Macaca fascicularis: one gene and its partners. The protein of the gene in region 3 interacts with the protein of the main gene of each other region in a pairwise test. Links are inferred from orthologs where the notes say so. Each region holds a gene or a part of one and is shown on either strand. Other genes may lie near its edges.

Evidence for each region.
Region 1: the proteins of MTUS2 (region 3) and RBM41 interact in binary tests that used the Homo sapiens proteins (3 or more experiments, as listed by UniProt). The link is inferred for Macaca fascicularis from reciprocal best matches to the Homo sapiens genes MTUS2 and RBM41.
Region 2: the proteins of MTUS2 (region 3) and BMP7 interact in a two-hybrid assay, tested with the Homo sapiens proteins (3 studies listed by BioGRID and IntAct). The two-hybrid records come from large-scale screens. The link is inferred for Macaca fascicularis from reciprocal best matches to the Homo sapiens genes MTUS2 and BMP7.
Region 4: the proteins of MTUS2 (region 3) and FAM107A interact in binary tests that used the Homo sapiens proteins (3 or more experiments, as listed by UniProt). The link is inferred for Macaca fascicularis from reciprocal best matches to the Homo sapiens genes MTUS2 and FAM107A.
Region 5: the proteins of MTUS2 (region 3) and SETD5 interact in binary tests that used the Homo sapiens proteins (3 or more experiments, as listed by UniProt). The link is inferred for Macaca fascicularis from reciprocal best matches to the Homo sapiens genes MTUS2 and SETD5.
Region 6: the proteins of MTUS2 (region 3) and EHHADH interact in binary tests that used the Homo sapiens proteins (3 or more experiments, as listed by UniProt). The link is inferred for Macaca fascicularis from reciprocal best matches to the Homo sapiens genes MTUS2 and EHHADH.
Region 7: the proteins of MTUS2 (region 3) and TCEA2 interact in binary tests that used the Homo sapiens proteins (3 or more experiments, as listed by UniProt). The link is inferred for Macaca fascicularis from reciprocal best matches to the Homo sapiens genes MTUS2 and TCEA2.

Annotation. Positions count from the first base shown.
Region 1 is NC_088395.1:113,661,362-113,664,378, reverse strand, and holds part of RBM41 (RNA-binding protein 41), read left to right. Parts: intron 1-2,347; coding exon 2,348-2,495; intron 2,496-3,017. UniProt on the Homo sapiens protein: May bind RNA.
Region 2 is NC_088384.1:113,219,643-113,222,894, reverse strand, and holds the end of BMP7 (bone morphogenetic protein 7), read left to right. Parts: intron 1-412; coding exon 413-562; 3' UTR 563-2,752; downstream 2,753-3,252. UniProt on the Homo sapiens protein: Growth factor of the TGF-beta superfamily that plays important role in various biological processes, including embryogenesis, hematopoiesis, neurogenesis and skeletal morphogenesis.
Region 3 is NC_088391.1:8,910,803-8,914,825, reverse strand, and holds the start of MTUS2 (microtubule-associated tumor suppressor candidate 2), read right to left. Parts: upstream 2,801-4,023; 5' UTR 2,800-2,800; coding exon of another isoform or gene 2,704-2,799; 5' UTR 2,598-2,703; coding exon 351-2,597; intron 1-350. Other genes in the region: uncharacterized protein, read right to left, coding at 2,704-2,799. UniProt on the Homo sapiens protein: Binds microtubules. Together with MAPRE1 may target the microtubule depolymerase KIF2C to the plus-end of microtubules. May regulate the dynamics of microtubules at their growing distal tip.
Region 4 is NC_088376.1:121,733,594-121,737,733, reverse strand, and holds the start of FAM107A (actin-associated protein FAM107A), read left to right. Parts: upstream 1-1,340; 5' UTR 1,341-1,955; coding exon 1,956-1,979; intron 1,980-4,140. UniProt on the Homo sapiens protein: Stress-inducible actin-binding protein that plays a role in synaptic and cognitive functions by modulating actin filamentous (F-actin) dynamics. Mediates polymerization of globular actin to F-actin. Also binds to, stabilizes and bundles F-actin.
Region 5 is NC_088376.1:147,737,756-147,741,255, forward strand, and holds part of SETD5 (histone-lysine N-methyltransferase SETD5), read left to right. Parts: intron 1-1,781; coding exon 1,782-2,083; intron 2,084-3,087; coding exon 3,088-3,221; intron 3,222-3,500.
Region 6 is NC_088376.1:97,193,553-97,197,527, forward strand, and holds the start of EHHADH (peroxisomal bifunctional enzyme), read right to left. Parts: upstream 2,801-3,975; 5' UTR 2,774-2,800; coding exon 2,700-2,773; intron 1-2,699. UniProt on the Homo sapiens protein: Peroxisomal trifunctional enzyme possessing 2-enoyl-CoA hydratase, 3-hydroxyacyl-CoA dehydrogenase, and delta 3, delta 2-enoyl-CoA isomerase activities. Catalyzes two of the four reactions of the long chain fatty acids peroxisomal beta-oxidation pathway.
Region 7 is NC_088384.1:120,189,258-120,193,347, reverse strand, and holds the start of TCEA2 (transcription elongation factor A protein 2), read right to left. Parts: upstream 2,801-4,090; 5' UTR 2,559-2,800; coding exon 2,498-2,558; intron 1-2,497. Other genes in the region: SOX18 (transcription factor SOX-18), read left to right, coding at 3,031-3,388, 3,589-4,090. UniProt on the Homo sapiens protein: Necessary for efficient RNA polymerase II transcription elongation past template-encoded arresting sites.

The DNA of each region.
Region 1 (3,017 bases), on a different chromosome or scaffold from region 3:
GTTGAGTGTCTTCATCATGAAACAGTGTTGAATTTTGTCAAATGCTTTGTCTGCATCTATTGAGATCGTGTAATTTTTATATTTTGTTCTGTTAATGTGTTGAATTACATTGATCAATTTTTGTGTGTTGAATCATCCTTGCATCCCAGGGATAAATCCCCCTTGGTCATTGTGTATGATCTTTTTAATGTGCTGTTGAATTTGGTTTGGTAATATTTTGTTGAGGATTTTTACATCTGTTTATTAAGGATATTGGTCTGTATTTTTCTTATAATGTTTTTGTCTAGGTTGGTCTCAGGGTAATCCTGGCCTTATAGAATAGCTAGCATATAGTTTATAGTTGGATTTTGTTTATCCATTCAGGTACTCTGTCTTTTGGGGAGTTTATTAATATTTAATGTAATTATTGCTAGCAAAGGACTTACTATTGCCATTTGTTAATTGTTTTCTGTCTCTCTTGTACCTCTTTTGTCTCTCCCTCTCAGCTGTCTTCCTTTATGGTTCATTGGGGTTTTTTTTGTAGTGATATACTTTTATATCTTTCCCATTTTCCTCTGTATGTCTTTTATAGGTATAGGTCATGGTAAAACAATTTGTTTTAAGCTGATAACATCTTAAGTTCAATCACATATAAGAGCTCATTTTTGTTCTCTTGAATTGTTTTTTTGTTTGTTTTGTTGTTGTTGTTGTTGTTGTTTTTTGAGACAGGGTCTCACTCTGTTGCCCAGGCTGGAGTGTGGTGGTGTGGTGTGATCGTAGTTCACTACAGCCTCAAACTCCTGAGCTCCAGTAATCCTCCTGCCTCAGCCTCCCAAATAGCTGGGACTTGTAAAATTGGCCAGGTGTGGTGGTGTATGCTGTTTGCTCACAAGTAGCACATGCCACTCTGTCTCTTTTGTAAAGACAGTGTCTCACTGTGTTGCCCAGACTGATTTCAAACTCCTGGACTCAAGCGATTCTCTCACCTCAGCCTCCCAAAGCACTGGGATTACAGGGGTAAGCCACCGCACCCACCCTCCCATGCCTAATAGGTAGAATAATTTCTCTTATTTTTCTGAGGATATTAGTTATGGTTTGTTGAAGTTTTTTCCTATTTGCTTTCTTTTCTTTGTTTGTTGTGTTCTCTCTTTCACATTAGAGGATTTCCTAAGATGCCTGATAATCGATGCCCAACTTTATAAGTAGGAACTAAAAAGCAGATTGGAATCTCTGAGCACACAAGTGGTACTTGTTGACTTTGAGCTTCACTTTAAAGTGGTCTGGCTGGACCATTTGTTAGATAAATTCCTTATCCCAAGTCCGTGTTTTTATATCTTTCCTCCTAGGACTTACCAGTTTTCCCAGAGAAGACTGTTCCAAAATCTTTCTTATGAGGGTACTACCAGCATTCTAGGAGCCAAATGGCAGAAGAGGTCTGGGAGGACCTCAACATTTAGTATGCATTCGTTCTCTTAGTCTCCTTGCTTTCAGAAACAGGGTTCACATCTTCAGCCATGTATGGCATTCCCCATCTTCTGACAATGAGCCTCAAGTATTCTACCAGAATCGGCAAGTTATCTTTTACCCCATAGCATGTTGTGAGGGAGGGTATTTAAAAATCATATTGGCTTTTAGACAGCTTTCAACTGACCTGCCTTATTTTAACCCCATCCCTTCACATTTATTTCTGAAAGTAAGTGAAATTATCAGTTCCTGAACTATTTAAGGATTCTTAAGTGGTGACAGGTGTGTTCTTGGCTTTCTCCACTACCAGTTTAAAATTCAACTTTCTTCAGTGTGCTGAGTTGGTTCCTGCTCATCCAATTATTTTTCATCTTCCAGATTATTATTGCTGTTGTCTCCTTTTCTTGTTCCTCCTGACCTTGTTAGTTTGTGTTTTTTGTTTTTTTTTTAAGTGCCCATAGTTATAGAGAGTTTTCTGGATGGAATGAAATTAAATGAATGTGTTCAATCCACCATTTTTATGTGAAACTAATTGTAATCATAATGAAAGAATTGCCTTACGGCTGGGCATGGTGTCTCACGCCTGTAATCCCAGCACTTTGGGAGGCCAAGGCGTGTGGATCACCTGAGGTTGGGAGTTCGAGACTAGCCTGGACAACATGGTAAAACCCCATCTCAACTAAAAATACAAAAATTAGCCAGGTATGACTAATCACAGCTACTGGGGAGGTTGAGGCATGAGAATTGCTTGAACCCAAGAGACCAAGATTGCAGTGAGCCGAGATTGCGCCACTGCACTCCAACCTAGGTGACAGAGTGAGACTTTGTCTCAAAAAGAAAAAAAAAAAAAGAATTGCCTTACCTCCTTTTTATGATATTTTGGTTGATTCTCAATTTGTTTTAGGTGTTATACCTGAAGAACCTTAGCCCTCGGGTGACTGAAAGAGATCTTGTGTCATTGTTCGCTCGGTTCCAGGAGAAAAAAGGACCTCCAATTCAATTCCGAATGATGACTGGACGAATGAGGGGCCAGGCTTTTGTCACCTTTCCCAGTAAGTAGTTTCATCCAGATGATTACTCAGTTGCCCCTCAGTTCGCTAGAGACTACCTATAACCTCTCTAATTTAGATACAGTCCTTTGATTTCTCCACAGCATGTGAGAACAAGAGAAGGAACGAAAAATATGTTTTCAGTATTTCTTTCTCTTTCCTCTCCTCCATTGACAGTGCATGGCCACACTACCCCAGTGTCCTCAGGTTTTCCCAGTCTTGGTACTTCCTTCTTACCCTACCAAAATCTGTACTCCCTTTACTGACAACAGTATTTCTGGTCCAAGTTATAATTAGATTACTCATTAATTAGTGTATTAGTATTCTGATCAGAACACATGTACTTGCCTTATGCACTGTTCCTTTAGGACTAAGTGAGCACAAGCTAATATACTAATTTATTACTTATTCATAATTAGTAGATGATGATACAGTCTTCTAATTATTATTTGCATATTAATTAATGCATAGCTTCTAATCCAACGGGAAGAATAATATAAGAATTTCAGTTTCTGTGACAGACCA
Region 2 (3,252 bases), on a different chromosome or scaffold from region 3:
TTGAGTTTGTGTGTCCCTGGCCCACATCCTCTGTAAGGTACAGAGAAGCCCATGAGCAAGATGGAGCACTTCTGGTGGCTCCAAGTCAGGGACACTATTCAGCATTCTGCAGTGCACAGGGCAGTTCCCCAACAGAGAATTACCTGGTCCTGAATGTCGGATCTGGTCCCTTCCTTCTCAACTGCATAGTGTGAAAACCTCTATGCTTTGGTTCGCTTGTCTGCAAAACAGGGGTAATCCCAGAACTGAGTTGTCCAGGTAAAGTGCTTAGAACAGGGAGTGCTTGGCTTGGGGAGTGTCACCTGCAGTCATTTATTATGCCCAGACAGGATGTTTCTTTATAGAAACGTGGAGGCCAGTTAGAAGGACTCACCGCTTCTCACCACTGCCCATGTTTTGGTGTGTGTTTCAGGTCCACTTCATCAACCCGGAAACGGTGCCCAAGCCCTGCTGTGCGCCCACACAGCTCAATGCCATCTCCGTCCTCTACTTCGATGACAGCTCCAACGTCATCCTGAAGAAATACAGAAACATGGTGGTTCGGGCCTGTGGCTGCCACTAGCCCCTCCGGGAATTCAGACCCTTTGGGGCCAAGTTTTTCTGGATCCTCCATTGCTCGCCTTGGCCAGGAACCAGCAGATCAACTGCCTTTTGTGAGACCTTTCCTTCCCTATCCCCAACTTTAAAGGTGCAAGAGTATTAGGAAACGTGAGCAGCATATGGCTTTTGATCAATTTTTCATCCAATGAACAAGATCCTACAAGCTGTACAGGCAAAACCTAGCAGGGAAAAAAAAAACACGCATAAAGAAAAATGGCCGGGCTAGGTCATTGGCTGGGAAGTCTCAGCCATGCACGGACTTGTTTCCAGAGGTAATTATGAGGGCCCGCCAGCCAGGCCACCCAGCCGTGGGAGGAAGGGGGCGTGGCAAGGGGTGGGCACATTGGTGTCTGTGCGAAAGGAAAATTGACCCGGAAGTTCCTGTAATAAATGTCACAATAAAACGAATGAATGAAAATGGTTAGGATGTTACAAATATATTTTCCTAAACAATTTATCCCCATTTCTCCGTTTATCCTGATGCATAAACAGAAGCTGTGTCATGTGGAGGGCGGGGAGGTCCCTCTCCATTCCCTACAGGTTTCATTCTGAGGCTTGCAGAGTTCCAGTGTTTACCAAGGTTTGCCCAAATCCAAGATCTAGTGGGAGGGGAAAGAGCAAATGTCTGCTCGGAGGAGGGTTGTGTGTTGACCTTTGGAGGTAAAATATGTTCTGTTGTTCAGCTGGATTTGCAGTGGCAGATATGAAACTAGGTGTGTGAAACACCCGCAGACATTTGGAATTGGCTTTTCAGCTCGCCCCAGTGGTAGTAAATCCATGTGAAATTGCAGAGGGTACAAGGACAGCAAGTAGGATGGAACTTGCAACTCGACCCTGTTGTTAAAAAGCACCAATGGGCCAGGCGCGGTGGCTCACGCCTGTAATCCCAGCACTTTGGGAGGCTGAGATGGGCGGATCATTTGAGGTCAGGAGTTTGAGACCAGCCTGGCCAACATGGTGAAAGCCCATCTCTACTAAAAATACAAAAATTAGCTGGGCATGGTGGCACGCGCCTGTAATCCCAGCTACTCTGGAGGCTGAGGCAGGAGAATCGCTTGAACCCAGGAGGCGGAGGTTGCAGTGAGCCGAGATCACCCCACTGCACTCCAGCTTGGGTGACAAAGCGAGACTCCATCTCAAAAGAAAAAAAAAAGGAAGCACCAATGAAGCCTAGTTCTCCACGGGAGTGGGGTGAGCAGGGGTACTGCACATCCTCCCAGTGGACCCTCTGGTCTTTGTCTGCAGCGGCATTCCAAGGCTGGGCCCTGGCAAGGGTACCCGTGGCTGTCTCTTCATTTGCAGACCCTGATCAGAAGTCTCTGCAAACAAATTTGCTCCTTGAAGTAAGGGGGAGATGGCATAATAGGAGGTCTGATGGGTGCAGGATGTGCTGGACTCACATTGCAAACAGAAGCCTTGTTGAGGGTAACATCCTAACCAAGTGTCCCGATTTGGAGGTGGCATTTCTGACATGGCTCTTGGTGTAAGCCCGCCTTGCCTTGGCTGGTGAGTCCCATAAATAGTATGCAGTCAGCCTACGGCCACAAACACAAGGCCTGGGGGAGGGCTACACTGTCTACAAACGTTTTCCGCATCTGTAAAGGAAGCAAGGTGATCCGAGACTGTGGCCATGTGGAACCCGGTCTTGTGGGGGACTGTTTCTCCATCTTGACTCAGACGGTTCCTGGAAACACCGGGGCTCTGTTTTTATTTTCCTTGATGTTTTTCTTCTTTAGTAGCTTGGGCTGCAGCCTCCACTCTCTAGTCACTGGGGAGGAGTATTTTTTGTTATGTTTGGTTTCATTTGCCTGCAGAGCTGGGGCTTTTTGTGTGATCTCTCTTGGTGCAGGTTTTCTCACCACTTACTGACCCAACCAGCCTCTGGTTAGCATCGTTTGTACATTTAAACCTGTAAATAGTTGTTACAAAGCAAAGAGATTATTTATTTCCATCCAAAGCTCTTTTGAACCCCCCACCCCTTAATCCCTCGTTCAGGATGGCGAGCTTGCTTTCCTTCAACCTGTTTGTTTTCTTATTTAAGACTATTTATTAATGGTTGGACCAATGTACTCATGGCTGTTGCGTCGAACAGTCTTTAGTGAAAATTCTGTATAAATAGACAAAATAAAAAGGGTTTGACTTTGCAATAAAAGGAGACGTTTGGTTCTGGTTCTTTGGCCTGTGTCTGTCTGTGTGTGTTGTGTTTTTCTCTCAGTTTCTGAACACTGAAGTTCTCTCACACTGCTGAGAGCTCCCTGCCTTCGCCTCCACCGTGAACACACTGTTTAGCATTCAGGCCTTGGGGGGAAGTGGGCGCTCGTCAATATTTGGTGCAGCTGTGTGGGGCTCTGGGCAGGAGAGATGGAACCAAACAACACATGTGAATTTGGTAGAGGCTCCACTACAAAGGTCCTTGATTGAATTACAGTGCAGCTGTCAGCAGCTGTTTCAAAGAGGCAGGGGGTAAATTAGCTGTGTTTACTGCTAACATAGTTGAAAGATTTAGTCATCCCAATAAAATAGAGGCAGCACAGAGAGAAAAAGGGCAGGAGGTGCACACCCAAAACTTTAAAGCAGTGCCGGCCCCGGAGCTGACACTGTCCAGTGCAAATGATTGGGGCAGTGGGGAGCAGCTGCTGGAGCGCGGCTGTG
Region 3 (4,023 bases):
TGGCATTCTTTCTTCCTTTGACCTGGCTTATATTATATTCACTTATTTAAACATGGAAGCCTATTTAATGCATACTCATCTAATTTCATACGAATTATAGCAAGTGAAATTTCAATGGGTCTCCTGAGATACTGGGTGCATCTTATTAAGAGAATCAGACTCTTCTAATTAAAAATGGTCATTTCTCTAGACAATCTCCTCTAGTCAAAGACTCCATTTCTTCACCAGTGTATCCATGGAAATCTGCAATTCACTTAAAGAGGACATTTTACTTTCATAACTCATTGAAAATATGTCACAGATTTTGGGACAGTCAACTTACAGACCATATCATGATGACATTCTCTTACCTCCTGCAAAAACTTTTCACTCATTTGACCGAAAGGATGTCCTGGGGGCTTGATTCCAGACACCATCAATCCGGAACTGAAGACCCTTGGCTTCTGCAGGTCTGGCTTGAATTTCTCATAGAGGTTGGCAGACGGCTTCAGGTCACCACTCACAGCCTTCTCTTCATGGGGAAGAGGCATGGTACATGTGGGCGGGGCATATGGAAGCCCCACTGGAAGCAGCGAGGCGTCCACCTGGCCCAGGGCCTGGGGACTCCTCCTGATGTAGGTGATGATCTTGGGCCTCACATGCTTGGGCTTGGGCATAATGACGGGCTTGGTTTCTGTCCTCTCCTCTGTTTTTTCAACCTGATGGTTCTCCGTTCCCTCCTGCGAGGAAGGTGTGTCCTTGGAATGTGTGAAGACAGGCTTGGGGATCCCACTGGGGCAGGCGTTCTTGTCAGGCACTTTGGGGGATGTGTTCGACAAGCGTGCACTATCAGCAGGGGGTGGTACCGCCAAGGGGGACACTGCATCCATACCGAACACGCTAACATCCTGAAAACGGCTACTGGGTGTTGTAGGCTGGTGGGTCATGTTCACAGTTGTCTCTGGGAGGAGGGGTGCTGGAATATTGAGAACTGAATCTACTCTTGCTGAGGTGCGTTCAATCTTATCAGCATTCTCTAGAAGGTTCCTGCTTTCAGCAACAGATGTGGTGATCTCTCTGCTTTCCCGTGCTTCTGAGCTGCCACTTTGAGGTTCCAGGGGCTCAGGCACCTCTGTCTGGCTCTCTCCAATGGAAGGATTGAACACCAGAACTGTAACACTGTCCTTGTCCACTGTGGGTTGCTCACTGCCCAACTGCCTTTCCTCCTCAATGACATCCAAGGGTTTGCTGTCAGTCAGATTAGTAGGAATAAAAGCCACATGACCATCACCTGGTGAAAAGCTGCCGGATGTCCTTTCACCCAACTTCCCACCTGCACATGGTGAAATGTTGCCAGTGGGCTGACTATCAGCCCCTCCTAAGGAAGCAGAGGCCTGTTTGGGGGTGGCGTGGAGAGAATCCGGCTTCCCTGGGTTGACTCCTCTCTTCTCTTCACTGTTGCCTCTTCCCACCCCAAGGTGGTGGAGGTCACTGTTTGGCAGAGAGCCAAGTGCATCGGTGGTTTCTGGGTGCGCCTCCCCACACAGATCCTTTCCCTCCAACGCTGAAAGATTCTCTTCCCTGTGGCATCCCAGATACCCTTCCTGGGCTGCCTTTCCCTCCTGTTCAACCCTCCTGGGTGAAACATATTTCAGCTCCAGCTTGGCCTCTGCCTTTCCCTGACCTAATTGTGCTTCTGGCTTACTCGGGATTTCCCTCGATGTCAAAGTCAGATTCAGAGCAGGCTCTGGATGGGCGGAACGTGGTATGTGCTCACTGCACGCCTGCAGTACATGTGCTCCCACTGTCTGGGTCTCTGAGGGGGTGCTCTGCTTGGTCTCTGAGGTAGATGGTTTAGGATGACGCACACTCTTTCCCTGTGAGGTACTGTCAGTTGGAGGGAACGCTGCCGGGAGAGCGCAGTCTGGCAACGTCTTCTGTGGCCCCTCCCCACCCCCAGGCACCTGACCCCGTGCTTCCTGGGAGTCAAGGGGTGCAGGCTGTGGATGCTGCGGAGTCAGGCTCCCGACTACAGCTACAGAGCTGCTTGCTCTTTCCAAAGAATGCCTCCTCAGTTCCTCATTGTTGAGGGTCTTTGCCAATTTATCCTTGGGAACGTGCCGGGGAATTTCAGCATCCCTTTTAGCCAAAACGTCTAGACTGGCCTCACCCATCACATTTCTCCAACTCGACAGACTCGGTCCCTGGATACTCCGCGGGGTCTGCGGGCTATCTGCGCCTCTCTCCATTGTGTGCTCCTCATTGAGTTCCCTCTGAATGGTTGAAGAAAGTCTAAAATCTTTCAGGCTGGTGGAGCCAGGCTGAGATCCCTTCTCAAAGCTCTGAAGTTGGTGAAATTCCTTATGGAAATGGGTACGGTTTTCTGGCTCACTTGAATTTGTATTTCCAATTTCATCTTCCAGGTCACATGTCTTGGACTCATCATGAGAGGAGCTGACCTCCAACATGATTTGATTGGCATTTGTATCTCCCAGACTTAGGATGCTCTCATTATTATTTCTTGCTGCATTTCTGTTGTCCCGCAGCTGAGTGTAACATGATTTCTTAGGAGCCACTGGGACGCTCATTGTCAACCCTTTGGTGGGGCTGCTTGCCATGCAGTCCTACTTAATGGAAATGGGCTGCCTTCAAGCTGCAATCAGATTAATAGGAAATTCTCAGGCTGCTTGTCCTCCCCTGACAATGTCAGCTTGTGACACTGCTTTAATCATTCTCAGAAGAGCTTGAAAAGCAAGCATTCTCTTGATATACAGCAGGAACTAGGTTCCGGCTGAATGAGAGCCAATTAGTCCGTGAAACCTAGAGAGAAATAAAAATACATTCACATTAGATGGACAAATAGAACTTCTCAGGAGGAAAAAAGTGGTAAACACAGATTTATTCGTCATTTCTATACTATTATTTCATTCACTCGATAGTTTTCTCAAAAACCTTTCTGATCAGGGCTCCTGCTGACCAAATACGGACAGAAATTAAACATCAGAATGTTTAATGTTAGAAATCGATTATAAATGCATGTGAAATCTTAAATCCAAATTTTAAACATCCACAAGTCTATACTGATACTGATTTAAAAGGGTGGAGGAGAAGTAAAGGCTCTTCTTTACAGAAGAGCATCAACGAATGTAGAAAAAAATTTACAGAATTTGAAAAATCACTATTTTGCAATCTCTGCATTAATAATTATCTTGCACAAGGGATGCCAAAGGTACAAACATTGGGTAAAAGATTGTTGGGGAACAAGATATTTATAGATGCTTAAAGTATCTTCCCCCCAGCTACTTTATTTCTTACAAAAAGAAAATTTGATCTTTACAATGGAGAGATCTGGTAGACACCACATTAACCACGTGATCAAATTTAACATCACTGGTATCGAAACTGACATGACGGACTCCTGATATTAGTTAGTTCTCAGGGCCACACATCACCTATGCAGTAATGTTCAACCAGAATTTAACCATGAGAAAATAACCTGGCGAATTTAAATTGAGGTATGTATTACAAAATAACTGGCCTAACTGGTCCCAAAAAAAAAGTCAGCAGAGGCTGGATTTTCAAAATATGTTAGCAAAGGATATTATTAGGACAATGAGAGATGTAAATATGGACTGTATATAAGGTACAGGTATGTCATAATTAATTTCCTTGGGTGTATAATCGTGCTATAATTATGCCAGAGATCATCTTTGTTCTTGAAATATCCATGCTTTAGAATTCAGGGGTAGTATGTCATGATTTCTCTAACTTATTCTCAAATGATTCAACCAAGAAAAACATGTGTATGTATGTGTGTGTGCATATGAGAAGGAGACATATGTGTGCAAAAGAGAGAAAGAAACTGGCAAAAGTCAACCATTTGAATATCTAATTAAGAATTCTACTACATCTGCAGCTTTTCTATAAGTTTGAAATTTTCCAAAATAAAAACTTGGGGGAAACGCTTCATTCCGGCCTTCGCGGCCTGCATGATCAGGCCCTGAACACCTTTCTGGCCTCATCCCCACCTCACCATCTGCTCTG
Region 4 (4,140 bases), on a different chromosome or scaffold from region 3:
GCCACATGTTTGCTTGGCTGGAGGGGTCACGGATATTGGAGGAAATACAGTAATAACAACAACAACAGTATTAAGCAGTGCCATGCAGTGAGCACTTTCGATGAGCCAGGACTGCCTTAAGCACTCGACCTACTTAGACTATTTCATTTAATCCTCCATCATGGATTCTTCTACTAATATTGCTCTAGACTCGGGGTAAACTGAGGAGCAGGACAGACCAGGCCCTGGCCTTTGTGGAACTGCCCTTCCAGGCAGAGGAGACAGACAATAAACACAGAAGTCCTATCATTTCAGTTGCTGATGAGTGCTACGACAAAGTAATAAACAGAGAGCCTGGGACCTGCTTTGCAGAAGGCATCGGAGAAAGCTGCTCTGAGGAGCCTGAAGGACAAAAAGGATGGAATCATGCAACGCTCAACATATGGGGAATGGAGGGGAAGTGGGGGAGGGAACATCCCACTCAGAAAGAATAGCAAGTGCAAAGGCCCTGAGACGGGGGGAGAGGTGCTGTGACCCAGAAACTGCCAGGGAGAGGGAGGAGAGGGAAACGGGGTCCTAGCAAGACCGTTGATCAGAACTTGTGGACCATGGGGGATCTCGCTCTGTTGGCAAGGCTGGATCTAGAATGCCTAATTCTTGACTCTCCACCAGCTGCCATTCTGTGAGTCATCTGTGTATGTGCTGCAGGCACCTACTGTGTGCCAGGCACCGTGCTAGAGGAAAGGAAAGGGTGGCAAGTTCTCCCCAACCCACCCGCCTCTTGGGAATGGGTGTTGTGCTTAGTGAACTGGTTATTCGGGACTTTCCAGTGGGCAGTGGACTTATCATTTGTGTTCTTAGCAGCGTGATAGCAGCAGTGCCTAACTTCTCTGAGGAACTGTTGTTTGCCAGATGCTCTGTGCATCCCCACAGCCCCATGCAGTGGGGGCAACTGTTACCCCACCTTTGGTGAAGTGACAGATAAGACGGAGCGACACGCTCTGATTTATGCTTTCACAAAACGATGGCTTGAGCTGTACACACACACCTTACCCCATATAGCTCTGTGCAGTGTGCTTCACACACACACACACACACACACACACACGCACGACATCGTGCCTCCAAGGCCACACAACTCTCGGGGACAGAGCTACAGTTCAAGCCCAAGGTCTCTTCAGCCTTAACCTCGGCCACAAGCTGGCATCACGGAGAAGGAAGAGGCTGGCAAATGAGGAGGAGGGTGACTGCCGGGGGCACTTTGAGAACTTGGCCCCAGGCCTGAAATCCGGCCTCCAGATATTTTCTTGGCCTGAGCCCAGACCAGCCACCCTCCAGCCCTCCCAGGCAGCCTGCTGCCCAGTTGAATGAAGGAGTCCGCTCTCAGAGTTTCTGCCGTGGGAGAGCCCCGGACCTCAAGCGTCTTCAAAGGTCTATTATTAATGGGGCCATCCAGCTGAAGCTGACATCCCCAGCAGCCCTCCCAGAGCTCTGCACCTCAGCCAGCCCATGGCCTCCACTCTCTGGCCCTGTCTGCTGAGCGGTGCCCAGCAAGACGAGAAGGCCAAGTCCTGCCCGCTGGGCCAGCCAGAGGTCACCTGCCGCGCCTGAGCTACCGGTGTGCGGTGAGAGGACTGCTCTGCGTCTTCCCTCGGCTCCCAGCTGCCTCAGTTTCCCTTCCTGAGAAAGGCGGGGTTCTGGGAGGTGAGGAGCTGCAGGGACCCACGAAGGGCATGGAAGCCGCCTGGGGACACTGGCCCGTCTGTCAGGATCAATCGCCCTAAGCCTGTCTGAGGCGCTCCAGGCTTAGGAGCAGCTGTGAAAGCCGCCTTTGTGCCTGGGAGAATGAGCCGCAAGAGGACAGGGGGCCCTGGCCCCGGGAGCCCCTTGGGTCCTGGCTCCTGAGATCAACGCCATCAGGGAAGACCCCAGCCTGGCCCCTGCAGCCCACCCAGGCCTGGTGCCCACTTCGTGCCATGGGAGCAGCCCAGGGGAAGAAGGTAGGAACCCCCAAGTGTCCTGTTGGGGCCCTGGACATGGGAAGGGAGACTAGACCTAGCAAGTGGGAGCCCCAACCCACCTACCCTGAAGCTTCATTTGGCACTGCCCACCAGCCCTCCTCCTGGAACTCACAGCCAAGACTTGCATCTAGAAGGCAGGCTGGGGCTCAGGGAAAAACCAGTGCCCTATCTCTCCATCTCTAGGACAGACTTGGGGACAGCCAAATCTCTCTGGCTCCCTGGTCTTAACCACACACATCTCTACTTCCCTGAGTAAAAGCTCCCTGGGTACCCCTTCCCCATACCTCAGGAGACTGTCTGACACAGGTGGATACAGGGGAAAGATCTTAAAATTGTTATTATTATTATTATTATAAAGTTGACTAACCAGCTGTTACCAGTTGTAGGGCAATGGGCAAGTTATTTAAGCTTTCTGTACCTTATTTCCTCACCTGTAAAATAGGGCCACTAATAATCACTACCTTGGAAAATCATTGTGAAAATTAAGTGAGTGAAAGTGTTTAGAACACTGCCTGGCACTGTGTAGAGGCTTTGCTCCGTTATTATTAGAATTCTGTTCATGTTATTATCTCTCGCCTTCTAAGCCTGAGCTCTCAGCTAGAGGTTTGTAGACAGCACTGCCTTAGCAGTGTTTCTGGAAATGTGCTCTGTGGACCCCTGCATCAGCGTTGTGGTGTGGGGAATAGGAGGGAGCTTGTGAAACAGTCACTTTCTCAGGGCCAGTCAGACCTCCTGGGTCAGCCTCTTAGGGGCAAAGAGGGGAGGGGCCTGCACTTACTAGCTCTCAGGATTGTCCTACATGCTCACTGCTCTCCGCCCACAGCGACTCAGCACTGCCGTCCCAGTGGCATAGCCAGGCTGCCGGGTCCCAGCTCCACCACCCACCTACTGAGGCGATGACCTGAACCCCTCTGGACCTCAGCTTCTTGTTTGTAAAAGGGGGCTGGTACCTGCTTCGTGGGAGGTTCAACAAGATGATGCCTTTGAAGTGCTTTGTGTGCTACCCCACCCCCAGAGGCTCCCCAATAAACAGGGGACTCTGATCCTCAGGCAACCAGTGATGACCTGTTCCATCAAGGTTGAGAAACTCAAGGAAGAAGTAATTTCTTAGCCAGGGTCATGCAGCTAGTGGGGGAAAGAGCAGGGTGCTGTTGTTGTTGCTGTTGTTAATTTGGAAAGAGGAGCTTTATTTCTCATAAAGAGTTGCAGCCTGCAGGGTGGCCATTCTGACAGGCTGGGAAGCATGGCCTCTGGCCAGAATCCAGAAACTGACACTTTGAGGAAGAGGCAAAGGGAATAGAAATTTATGCTGAGCAGCATGGCCAAATATACATATTCAATAAGCTGTGGGAGGAGTCATGCATATTTATGAAAGGAGAAACATCTGCATGCACAGTTGAGCTCCATGCCTCTTATGGGCCCGAGATACAAAAAAATGTTGGCCTTAGTGTGATCAGAGGGTGGAGTTTTCAGCCCTCTGATGTCAAAGGTGAAGCAGGGGGCACAAAAACCCTCACTGTGCATCCTCTGCAGACTGGTTAGAACCGCTCCATGATCCGCGGTCTCTTATCAAGAAAAAATGCTGGTTGGTTTTTGTGTTAAAACCACAAAAGGGAGGCGCAGTTGGTTGAAATCAGTATGGAGTCTTTTGAAAAGGCCGGTTTCTGTTTAGCTCTTAGGGAAGAAAGTCTAATGGAGGTTATCAAGGGATGGGGCACTACGGGGCGCGTGCAACCTCCCATCCCGTCATGGCCAGAAACTTGGTTTTCAAGATTTCTCTGGGGTCTCCTTGGCCAAGAGGGGGTCCGTTCAGTCACTTGCCGGGTAGGGGGGTGTTTAAAGTTTTATTTTTATTTCTTATTTTTATTGGGTAGGATTTTGACCCCGTTCTGCTTGATTCCAAACAACCCAGCCCATCCCACCCTTCCTGGTCCATAGCTCTGTCCACGGCATCTTCCTCAGCCCCACCCCAACCTCCCACAGAAGGCTGTTGGTCAGGCACCTGCTGCCCTGTGCCAGGGCCTGTGTGGAGCTGGAGCCAAGGGTGAGGAGACACAGCCCCTGCCCTTGAGGCCATCCCTGTCAGTTGTGGAGACTGATAGGCAGGTAAAAAATAGTTGGGAGTGTGTGTGACAGTTGA
Region 5 (3,500 bases), on a different chromosome or scaffold from region 3:
TCCCAGTGACTTGCATTTATTGAGCAGGGCCAGGGATGCTGAATGTCCTATGTAGGGGACAGTACCACGTAATGGCCAAACATCTGTAGTATCCTCATTGAAATGAAACTTAGTGGTTTTTTATATTTTCGTGATGATAATATTCATTACCAGAATTTATTAACTTCTTTCCAAAATTATGTATAGAAAATGCATATGCAAAACTGTCTATATTTGTTACGTTTGCACAGAAAAATGAGAACCCTAAGGGGATAGAAGGAGGAGGAAACATTGGCACATAATTTGGATTAGGATAGTAATTGATTTCAAAGATTGTTGCATGAACAGCATTGACTACCAGAAACAAAGATGAAAACAATCTTTAGATTTCTGGTTTTATAATATTTACTATGTGCAAAAGTCATAGAAATCATAATATGTTATTTCAGAAACACTTCTGAAATTTATTGGGCACATTTAAGCATAAATTTAAGCATATTCAAATTCTGTGCTGGATGTTTAAGATAAAAAGCCCTCCTAGAACTTAGAGTTTAGTCAGGGAGCAATCAAGACACGGTAGAAAGTTCTACGGCCTGTGTAAGTAGTGTGCCAGAACAACAAAGAGGAGGTGTACTAGGCAGGGCAGGGATTATGGTCAGCAGGGTGGGGTGGGGGGTCTGCTGTCAGAAAAGAATGAGCAAGTGTTAGGGAGATGAAGGGGAAGTTGGGGAGAAGTTACCAAGTTGTTTTCTAGAGCTAGCTTGCTAAAAGTATAAACTGGAAATAATAATTTCCTCTCTTTTTACATTAATTACGTCTATGTCTAACAGAAACAATAATAAATTCCTATTTATTTCTTGAAAAATTGAGCATATTGGCCGGGCGCGGTGGCTCAAGCCTGTAATTCCAGCACTTTGGGAGGCCGAGACGGACGGATCACAAGGTCAGGAGATCGAGACCATCCTGGCTAACACGGTGAAACCCCGTCTCTACTAAAAAATACAAAAAACTAGCCGGGCGAGGTGGCGGGCGTCTGTAGTCCCAGCTACTCGGGAGGCTGAGGCAGGAGAATGGCGTGCACCCGGGAGGCGGAGCTTGCAATGAGCTGAGATCCGGCCACTGCACTCCAGTCTGGGCGACAAAGCGAGACTCTGTCTCAACAAAAAAACAAAAAAAAAAAAGAAAAATTGAGCATATTTAAGTACTCTGGAGCATTGGTTTTTTCTTTTTTTTTTTTTTTTTTTTTTTTCCTTCTCTCTCTCTCTTTCTCTCCCTCCCTGTCCTCCATCTCCTTCTTCTCTTCTCCCTGCTTCTGTCTCTCTCTCATGCTCTCAAACAGCTAATTCTAGGGGCTTCCAAGGAGTGCAGAAGAGCCATCAGAGTCACCTGGGAGGCTTTTTAAACTATACAAGCTTCCAATTCTCCCTTCTCTGGGTACTCCCATTGTTGCAAATAACTATGATAGCACACTTCTGTTACTGTGTAACGGTAACCTCACAAGTTTTTCTGAAGACAGAAAAAAGTATGGTGGTCTAATTGGCAAACATTCTTTAGAAACTTACCTCCTAGTTTATTATCTTCCTCTTACCAATTTCCAGCTGTCTTAATTATGTAGCTGTGCTCAGATCTCTTTCACACCCCCCAAAAAAAGTTGTCAGGGTTGGTATCTGCTTTGTTGGCATGGCTTGGCTAGTGGTTTACTACGGTACCATCTTTCCTTCTTTCCCTGTTGCTAGTGATCCACTAATGATATCCAGCTAGAGTACCGTTTTTTGTTTGTTTGTTTGTTTTTTCCTTTCTAGGTATCCCTGCTGGAGTACCGAAAACGGAAACAAGAAGCTAAGGAAAATTCTGCTGGTGGGGGAGGTGACTCTGCCCAGAGCAAAAGCAAGTCTGCAGGAGCTGGGCAAGGCAGCAGTAACTCCGTTTCTGACACTGGTGCCCATGGTGTGCAGGGATCCTCAGCCCGAACCCCATCTTCCCCTCACAAAAAATTCTCCCCATCTCATTCCTCTATGTCCCATTTGGAGGCGGTAAGCCCATCAGATTCCAGAGGCACTTCTTCATCTCACTGCAGACCTCAAGAGAATATCAGCAGTAGGTGGTAAGTTTATATCTGATGTTTTATAGTTAAATTGGGAATGGGGGGAGTATATATCTAGGATCATTCCCAGTTTTACCTAAAATCTATGGGAACACTTGATGGGAACATCTGAGACAGCCAGCCAACAGTACCATCTGTCCTGTTCAGCTGATTTAATAGTGTCAGCTGCAACCCCCCAGCTTTGCAGAATTAAGAGTTACCAACATGCCTGTGGAGCAGCGCTTTGGATGACATGTAGTTATGGATGCAGATGAGCTCTTTTATTTGGTGGGCACTAACACTGCCTCTTCTATTTCTCATTTCACATGAAAGGGGAGTCAAGAATCCAGCCAAGTTCCACATGAATTAACAACAAATGTCTCTCTTCCACACAGTTAGCATATACAGAGCAAAAAGACATTCTGAAAGGACTTGTCTGGTTTAGGGGAGACCGCAAATTTAAAAATGAATAATACTGGTGGCAAATACTGAGGATCAAATGTGTGAAATAGAGAATGAAGCACAGGAGTTCAGGGATCTTGAACTGAAAAAATAAGTCTGAGAAAGAAGAGTCCTGGCTCATATGTTTAATGTTCATTAATCTATGAAACCTTTATTAAACCACTACTATGTATCAGGCATATGATTTCCCAAAGGAGAAATTTTAACATTTTTAAATAGGGGTTGGGGGAAGTTGACATCTTTAATCCACTTTTTCCTTGATTTCTTTTTCTTTAAAAGTGATTGTTGTTGTTGTTGTTGTTAAAAGTGGTTGTTGTGGTGGTGGTGGTTGTTGTTAAAAGTGGTGGTGGTGGTGGTTAAAAGTGGTTGTTGATGATGATGATGATGATGTTTCTCTTTTGTGCCTGACATAGTTGGAGGCAGAGGAAATACCTTGTTTTAAATTGGTTCTGAAGAAAGTGTTAAGAGGATGTTTTAAGAAAATACACTGTGCACCTTGGTTAGGGCTTCATTTGTTTTGGTTAAGTCCTGTGGCTTGAACTTGCACCCTGTTGCCTTTACAGGATGGTTCCCACATCAGTAGAACGACTCCGAGAAGGAGGAAGTATCCCCAAGGTCCTCCGAAGCAGTGTGAGGGTGGCCCAAAAGGGAGAGCCCTCTCCCACGTGGGAGAGTAACATCACAGAGAAAGACTCAGGTGAGCCCATGGCCTTCTACTGCCACCACATTCAGGGACACATGAGCCAAGTCCTGTACAGTTCATGCCGAGTTCTGAGTTGAGGTGAGTCAGTTTCTGAAGCAGTTGGGCTCTGCCGTATGCTAGGTTCTAGCCCACTTGTGCTCATTTTGGCTACAACATTTGTAAGATCTAGCGTTGCTTGCTCTCTGTCTGCTCTTTTTTCCCCAAGGAATACCTTTCTGTAACTCTCATCTCTCCAAAGTCCTGGAAATCTACTTCGATGAAGGATGAAGAGAA
Region 6 (3,975 bases), on a different chromosome or scaffold from region 3:
ACACTTTACTAGATTCAGGCTGACAGAGAGAGTCACAGCAATGTAAAGGCCGCAGAGGTTACGAAATTATTTTTCCTGTTAATACTGTCAGGTATAAGGAAATAGAATCTGGAGTAGAGACAGCATTTCATGACTACTGACCAAAACTCTTCAGCTTCTTTGACTATAGGAGGTCTTTCTTTTTTTTTCAGACAGTTTTTTTTTTTTTTAACCAAACGTCATCCAATCAAGTTTGTGGCTTGTGACCAGGATTTTTTCAAAGGACAAGAAGAGAAAATAGACTGTATCAAACAATACACCAAGTAAGGATAGGTTTTGTTTTAGAAAACTGTTTTCAGTTACGTGTTTGTATGTAAGTGTATCTTGAATTGCTATGTAAAAACGTGAGCTTTCTTAGTCTGTGGATTACAGTAAACCAATAGTGTGAAAGCCATTGTTCTGGGAGACAGGCCTATTAATCAGGCCTGTCCTACGCTTATAAAGGGGGCTGGTGTTTATCTGAATGGAAGCAAACATGGCTGCTAAACTAGCAATGAAGGATTTAAACTATTTGTTTTGGGGAAAAAATTTACATATATGTGTGTGTGTACATGTGTGTGTTACACTCAAGTAAGAATCTCTCAATCAGCTAGGAAGATACAACTTCCCATATAAAATTAGAAATAGGAAGGGGAAAAGGAAGAAAGGGAGGAAAGAAAGAAAAGTGTAATAAAAAAATTGAGGAATCTGTTAAACTTGAGGAACTCTTAGGATGTACATTTCTACCTAAAAAAAGTTCAGAAGACAGACGAAAAAGGGCAGAGAAGTACTTATTCCCAAGTGGAGAATATCTTCTTGATGAAACTGAAGTGGGTCCTGAGTAGCAGGGCCTGCTGTCAGGGGCTTGAATAGGTCTTCTGACTAATAGGAATGATAACTAACATCTATTAAATGCCACTTTATAATTTCCAGCTGATTTAAACTTCACAACTTTATGAGGTAGGCCCTAACATTTCTCCTGCAAAGGGGCTGGGGGTGGCACAGGCAGTTGCATGGGTGGGCAGGGAGAGCAGGTTAAATTCCAGAAACATTTAAAACAGTTGTCAGAGGCTGGGCACGTGGCTCACGCCTGTAATCCCAGCACTTTGGGAGGCCGAGGTGGGTGGATCACGAGGTCAGGAGATTGAGACCATCCTGGCCAACATGGTGAAACCCTGTCTCTACTAAAATACAAAAAATTAGCTGGGTCTGGTGGTGCACACCTGTAGGCCCAGCTACTCAGTACGCTGAGGCAGGGGAATCACTTGAACCTGGGAGGCAGAGGTTGCAGTGAGCCGAGATCACACCACTGCACTCCAGCCTGGTGACAGAGCAAGACTCCGTCCAAAACAAACAAATAAACTAAAAAAAAAAAAAAAAAAAACGAACAGTTGTCAGAAAACATTCCTAGTCATGGGTATTAGAGTATGGAACTTTTCCCCCTAAGGTCCTAGTATCTAGCAATTCTAATCAGTATATAGACCAGTCCAAAATGGACAAGTAATCAAATTACTTACATTTTTCTTTGTCAAAACCAACATAACAGATATTTTGCTTTTTATTCTGGGAATGGCAAGTTAGTAGACATGTCATCCTTATGTGATTTTAGTCCTGCATTTTTTTGGCATTATTAAATGTAATAATTCACATTGAATTAATATTAATACTAATGATAAATCAAATCTGATGACAGTAGGATTTTTAAATTGTATTAAAATTAGCAGGTCTTCTCATTTCAGTCTCTTTGCTTCAGCAGTATGTGATAAGAATTTTGACTAAAGACCTTTCTCTCTATGCTTTATATATTCTTGGTAAATTATGATTTCCACTAATCTTATTCCCTGTGGATAGGTAATTCTTTTTCAAGGCTGATGTATAACTACTTTTTTAAAGAGATGTAGAATGACCAAACCGAATAACTTCATTACTTTTCAAAAAAGCAACATTGATCTCACTTTTCAATGTTTTAAGTGCACCACACAAGGCAAATACTTCCCAGTGAGAAAAAGAAGACAAGGTGCAGTTTTTCAGAAAATGCTATTACATAGGCTTAGTCTGATGTGAGTCTTCCTCGGAAGCACCAAAGTCCTGAGGTTCAAACAAATCAGGAGAAATAATTTTGCGTTTCTGGACCAGGGCACAATTCTGCTTTAATCACTGCGCTGGCATTAGTGGGACTTTTACTATTATTTTTAAATGTTAAACCATTTTACTGCCCTATTCCTAAAGCCTTTAGCCAAACATTGTAAGGGCAGCCTGGACTCAAAGTTGGGGAGTGAGGTTGGATCAAAGTTCAACATCGAACTAAGTTAAGACCTTTGGATTAGAAAGTCGACCTGCAAAGCCAAAGTTGCAAGTAAGCAGGAGGACTCTGCATGAAGGAACAGGTCAAGGCCAACTCCCTGAGTGCTGATCTGTCTCAGCCTCAGTTTCTTTATCAGCAAAACGGGGACGAGAGTTCTCTACGAAGATTAACCAAGCTAATCTAGGTTAAAAAAAAAAAAAGAAAGAAAGAAAAGAAAAGAAAGAAAAAGAAAAAAAAGGGCTCCTGGCATGTACCAGTTGCTCAACTCGGAGTGTCCTTCTCGGTTTAAACCAGCGGGGGAGAGTCAAGGCCTCCGGAGCCGGAGGGCGGGTAAGGCCCGCACGGTCCCCGGGCTGGAGGCGACCGAGCACGTTACCTGATCGCGTTGACCGGCGGGTTTCGGAGGCGGATCAGCGCCAAGGCGTTGTGCAGCCGCGTATACTCGGCCATGTTTCTTCTATTACCGAGGGCACCTCTGCCTCTCGCCGCCAGGCAAAGCCACTTTTCCGGGCGCGCCCGGCCGCCCCCAGAGGAGGGACGCCGACTGGGCCAATGCGAGCCGGGGCGCCGCCTCCCGCCGCGCCTCTTCCCACCCAGCCCTCCTCTACAGAGACCCCACCCCGCGCTCTCCAGACGCTTGTCGCTTTCTCTTGATTGACTCCCAAGCTGCTCCCACCACAAGGTACAGCAAGGAGAATGATGGAAACAGGTGTAATTGCCGGCAAGTGGAAGTTTGCAACCCCTTGGCCCATAGGGGCTGGCTACTGAGGACAAGTTCTGAGTTCGCTGAGTCGGGCAAGCTGTCCGCATCGCGGTATTCATCTTCATGATCTTTCTGAACCAGGGACAGATACCTGGGGCCCTGACAGTTATGTGATATTGATACACATCTGGAACACATAAAATACACATTGTTCATTTCACCTAAATGAGTAGGGTACTAATGAAACAGCCTTTGCAAAAATTCTAACACTGAGAAAATTATGGCAGTGAAAGAGATCTGATTTAACCAACTCCATCTTGCCTTTAGCTGCCCTTAATTATTCCTGAGCTCAGGCCAAGTTAACTTCGGGAGACATTTAGTTTATAGTTTAAATGATAATAGCTATTCCCCAAAACTCGACTGCCTTTGTAAAGCTAACTGAGAGACCACCAGGCTAGGAGGATAGAGGAGTGTGAATTCTGTCTGCTAAGGTGTAGACAGAGACCATTGCCAGCAATTACTCCGGAGGCCACCAAACAGACAACCCCCATTTACTCCTGCAGATAACATCGCTATTGTAGAACCTAAGTTTGGCCTTTTGAGGCATTTTTTCAGGATTTTTGCATGCCTGACACTGATGGCTCCACCTGGACCAGTCCACCTCTCCTGTGGCCCCACCCATAAGCAACTCAGCACAAGAGGATAACTTCAACCCCCTATGATTTCATTTCCAACCCAGTCAGCACTTTCCATACTCTAGCCCCTGCCCACCAAACTACCTTTGAAAAACCCCTAACCTACTAGCCTTCGATGAGATTGATTTGAGTAATAACTCCATCTCCCATGTGGCGTGGCCAGCCTCACATCAATTAAATTCTTTCCTTATTGCAATACTGTAGACTTCCTGAATTGATTTTGTTTGTGCAGCAGGCAGGAAGAACTCATCCAG
Region 7 (4,090 bases), on a different chromosome or scaffold from region 3:
AGGCAGTGCCTGGGAGGTCCCGCCATCCCGGCCCGGAGCCGTGCCAAGCCAAGCCCCCACCCAGAGCCACCGAGGGGGACTACCCAGCGTCCTTTGCAGGCCTCACTTGGAGGCCGAGTTCCTGTCCATGCTGAGGGAGAGGGGCAGGTGGTAGGCAGGAGAGTGTCCACTCAGTGCCCAGGCCAGTCCCACCCTTGTAGAGAAAGCTTGCCCCCAAATTCTGCCTTTCTGACTGGGGTTTGGGGGCTACAGATAGGCTCCCTCCCAAGGGTGGGCTGTAGCCCACCTGGTCCAGGAGAGACTGAGGTGGGGTTCCAGAGGCAGACGAATGCCCCTAGACTCATGAACTGCCTGCCCTCCTTTGGAGAAAGCTGGGGCCCAAGCTCAGTGGCCAGAGAAGCCTTGGGGACCCTCCAACCTTCACGGAGCAGGACCCCTGGTCCTGGACCTATTATGGGTCTTCATCTCTTCCTGGGAGAGTCCAGCTTGCCTGGCTCCCAAGGCCCTGGGCAGCCTCCAGCACCAGAGTCCCCCTCACCCCACACCCAGGCAGACAGACAGACACAGGCCACACACAGACGCACAGACACTCATCGGATTCCCCTCCCTCAGCACAGCTGGCCACACCCACACCATCCCCTGTACAGCCCTGGAGAGTCCCCCCAGCCCTGCGACTCCAGATCACGCCACCCTGACTGTGGTCTCTACCCTCACTTTGTCCCATCTGGACACTGGGCCGGGGCTGCCGCCTCCTCCCTGCCATGTGGAGGGAAAGGAGCACCCCAGGAGGCTCCCCACCCAGCCCTGGCTCACAGGACATGACGGCCGGACACCTGAGTCCCACAGCCCAGCCAAGAGGGTGGGTCACTGGCTGGCGCCAGGCAAGGCGGCTGCTGGTGGGTGTTGTAGGGGATGAGGAGGCGATGAGGTCATGCCGGACACTGCCTGCCACTATGTTTAGAGCAGCTCCAGTGACTCTGGGCTCTCAGGGGCGGCAGAGGACCAAGCAGAGCCCCCAGGGAACTGCAAATCTCTCCCAACATGTGAGGGCTGCTGCAGAGGACCCTGAGGACCTCTTTCCCAGGCCCCAGTGACCAGCCACTGCCCAGGCTGAGCCAGGCCCTGGTGACCCCAGACTCCATCCCTAAGGTTGTGAGTAGACGAAGCTTCTGCCAAGTGGCAGCCCTTTGGGGGTCTTCACACAGCTCCCCACCCCCCTGCACCTTCCTGCCAGCTGCCCAGGAGGCCCACCCACACAGACTTGGCCAAGCGTCCAGCCACCCACACTGAGATTGAAGGGGAACTAGCACCACCCAGCAGAGGCCTGTAAGCCCATCCATCCCTGTGGCCACAACTCTGCCTGCCTCCCCAGAAAAGCCAGAGGCCACACCTCCTGGTGCCCCAAGGGCCCCCCATTAGCCAGCACTGGTTCAGTGTCTGTGAACGAGGTGCTAGGCCCGTGGGGCAAACTGGAGTGAGGGGAGACCTGGAGGCCAGACTGGGAGATCCAGCCCCACATGCTGGGACGATGGGCGTCGAGACAGACTGTGATGTGGGGCTTTGGGGAGGGCTGGACACCGACCGCAACAGCCCTCGGTGGGGGTGCCCCTGTGGGGGGTGCTGGCCTCAGGGCAGGAGCGCCCCTGGGGACAGTTCAGGAACAGCCTCTGAGGAGCACTGCAAGGCCCACATAGGGCCCCCCCCATTCACATCACAGGCTGGATGTGGCCTAGCGAGGCTGGCAGGGACAGAGACCCAAGAACTGCTGGCCACACAGGCTCAAGGCCACCAAGATCTGTGGCCTCTACCCACGGGGCTCCCAGCACAGGGGTGGGTGGGGGGCAGTTGCGGAGCCTCCAGGCTATGAGGAGATGTGCTGTGAGGTGGGGGGATTCTGACCCTGCCTGGAGGGCTGCTGGGGACACCTGACACTCCTCCAGTAGAACCACGTATGGCAGTGGGAGGGGAGGACCTCCAGAGGGAGACCCTCAGCTCTGGAGGCCAGATCCCCTCCTGATGGGGTGGGAAGGGGACAGTGAAAATTCAGGAAGCTGGACGCTCCTCTGGAACCCGGCCCTCCCCAGGTCAGAGGGTCCAGGGAGGGGCCAGCGGGAAGGACCCAGGTCGGCCCTGCCTCTTGCTGCAGCGGTGGCCTGGGCTGGGCAGGGGAGCCGGACAGCCCCTGTGGGTCTCAGGCCCCTCCCCAAGGGCCCTGAGGTGGGCAGGGAGGAGGCCACAGCCTCTGCATCCCTGCTCCCCCTTCTCTTTGTGGGCTCTGTCCAGGGCCTCTGCTCTCTCCCTCCCTGTGTCAGCTTTGCCTTGTGGCAGCGTTGGTTTGGGCGTGAGGACAGAAACACGAAGACCACCTTGTCCCATAAAAGCATTCAAAGGCCCTGGTGCTGACAGGAACGTGGTGCATGGGCGCCCTTGGGTAGTCAGAGCGCCTCTCCAAAGCCGGGGGCTTTTCTGAGGGCGCTGCGCTCCAGGAAGGACTTACCGGCTGTTGGGAAGGCAGCCTCGCAAGAACTTGGTGTGCAAAAGGGCCCTCTCCTCCCCATGGAGCCTCCTAGGGGGGTGCGGGGAACGGCAACGAGCGGGACACTGCCGCCCTCCCCGTTACTGCCCGGGGGTCCGACTCCGTGGGTGGGTGGCAGCTCGCCTCTGAAAGTCTGGCAGCACCGGCCCACATCGGCAGCCCTTTCCTGCCCACCCGGGGGTCTCTCCTTCTGAGAGGTGGCGGGGGAGGTGGGGGGGCTGTGCGCGGGGGAGGCCTCCGCGAAATCCCGCCCGGCCAGAGAAGAAAGGGAGCCCCCGGGGAGGGGGCGGCCCCGACCCGCCCCGGCCCGCCCGCCCAGCCGCCGATTGGCCCCGAGCCGCTATATCTGGGCGCCCGTCCGGCCCGAGGCCACCGCCGTCCCCACCGCCGTCCGCCCTCCCGGCCTGGCCCGCCCTCGCGCCCGGCTCCGCAGTGCCCGCCGCCCGCCCGCCGCGCTCCCGCGCTCCGTTCCGCCCAGGCCGCGCCCAGCTGGAATGCAGAGATCGCCGCCCGGCTACGGCGCACAGGACGACCCGCCCGCCCGCCGCGACTGTGCATGGGCCCCGGGACACGGGGCCGCCGCTGACCCGCGCGGCCTCGCCGCCGCCCCCGCCGCCCTCGCCGCGCCCGCCGCGCCCGCCTCGCCGCCCAGCCCGCAGCGCAGTCCGCCGCGCAGCCCCGAGCCGGGGCGCTATGGCCTCAGCCCGGCCGGCCGCGGGGAACGCCAGGCGGCAGACGAGTCGCGCATCCGGCGGCCCATGAACGCCTTCATGGTGTGGGCGAAGGACGAGCGCAAGCGGCTGGCTCAGCAGAACCCGGACCTGCACAACGCGGTGCTCAGCAAGATGCTGGGTGAGCGGCGGGAGGGCGCCGGAAGGGGGAGCGGGCGGGGGGGCTCGGGCCGGAGGGGGCGGGGGGCGCGGGGCGCGGGGGTCCGGGGTCGCGGTGTACGGGGGGCTGCGCCGAACCCTCGCGGGGCGTCCCAGGCGCACGGAGGGCTCGGCGCCCACCCGCCCGACGGCGTTCCACTCACTGGCGCCCGCGGCCCGCAGGCAAAGCGTGGAAGGAGCTGAACGCAGCGGAGAAGCGGCCCTTCGTGGAGGAAGCCGAACGGCTGCGCGTGCAGCACCTGCGCGACCACCCCAACTACAAGTACCGGCCGCGCCGCAAGAAGCAGGCGCGCAAGGCCCGGCGGCTGGAGCCCGGCCTCCTGCTCCCCGGATTAGCGCCCCCGCAGCCACCGCCCGAGCCTTTCCCCGCGGCGCCTGGCTCGGCTCGCGCCTTCCGCGAGCTGCCCCCGCTGGGCGCCGAGTTCGACGGCCTGGGGCTGCCGACGCCCGAGCGCTCGCCTCTGGACGGCCTGGAGCCCGGCGAGGCTGCCTTCTTCCCACCGCCCGCGGCGCCCGAGGACTGCGCGCTGCGAGCCTTCCGCGCGCCCTACGCGCCCACCGAGTTGTCCCGGGACCCCGGCGGTTGCTACGGGGCTCCCCTGGCGGAGGCGCTCAGGACCGCGCCCCCGGTGGCGCCGCTCGCTGGCCTGTACTACGGCACCCT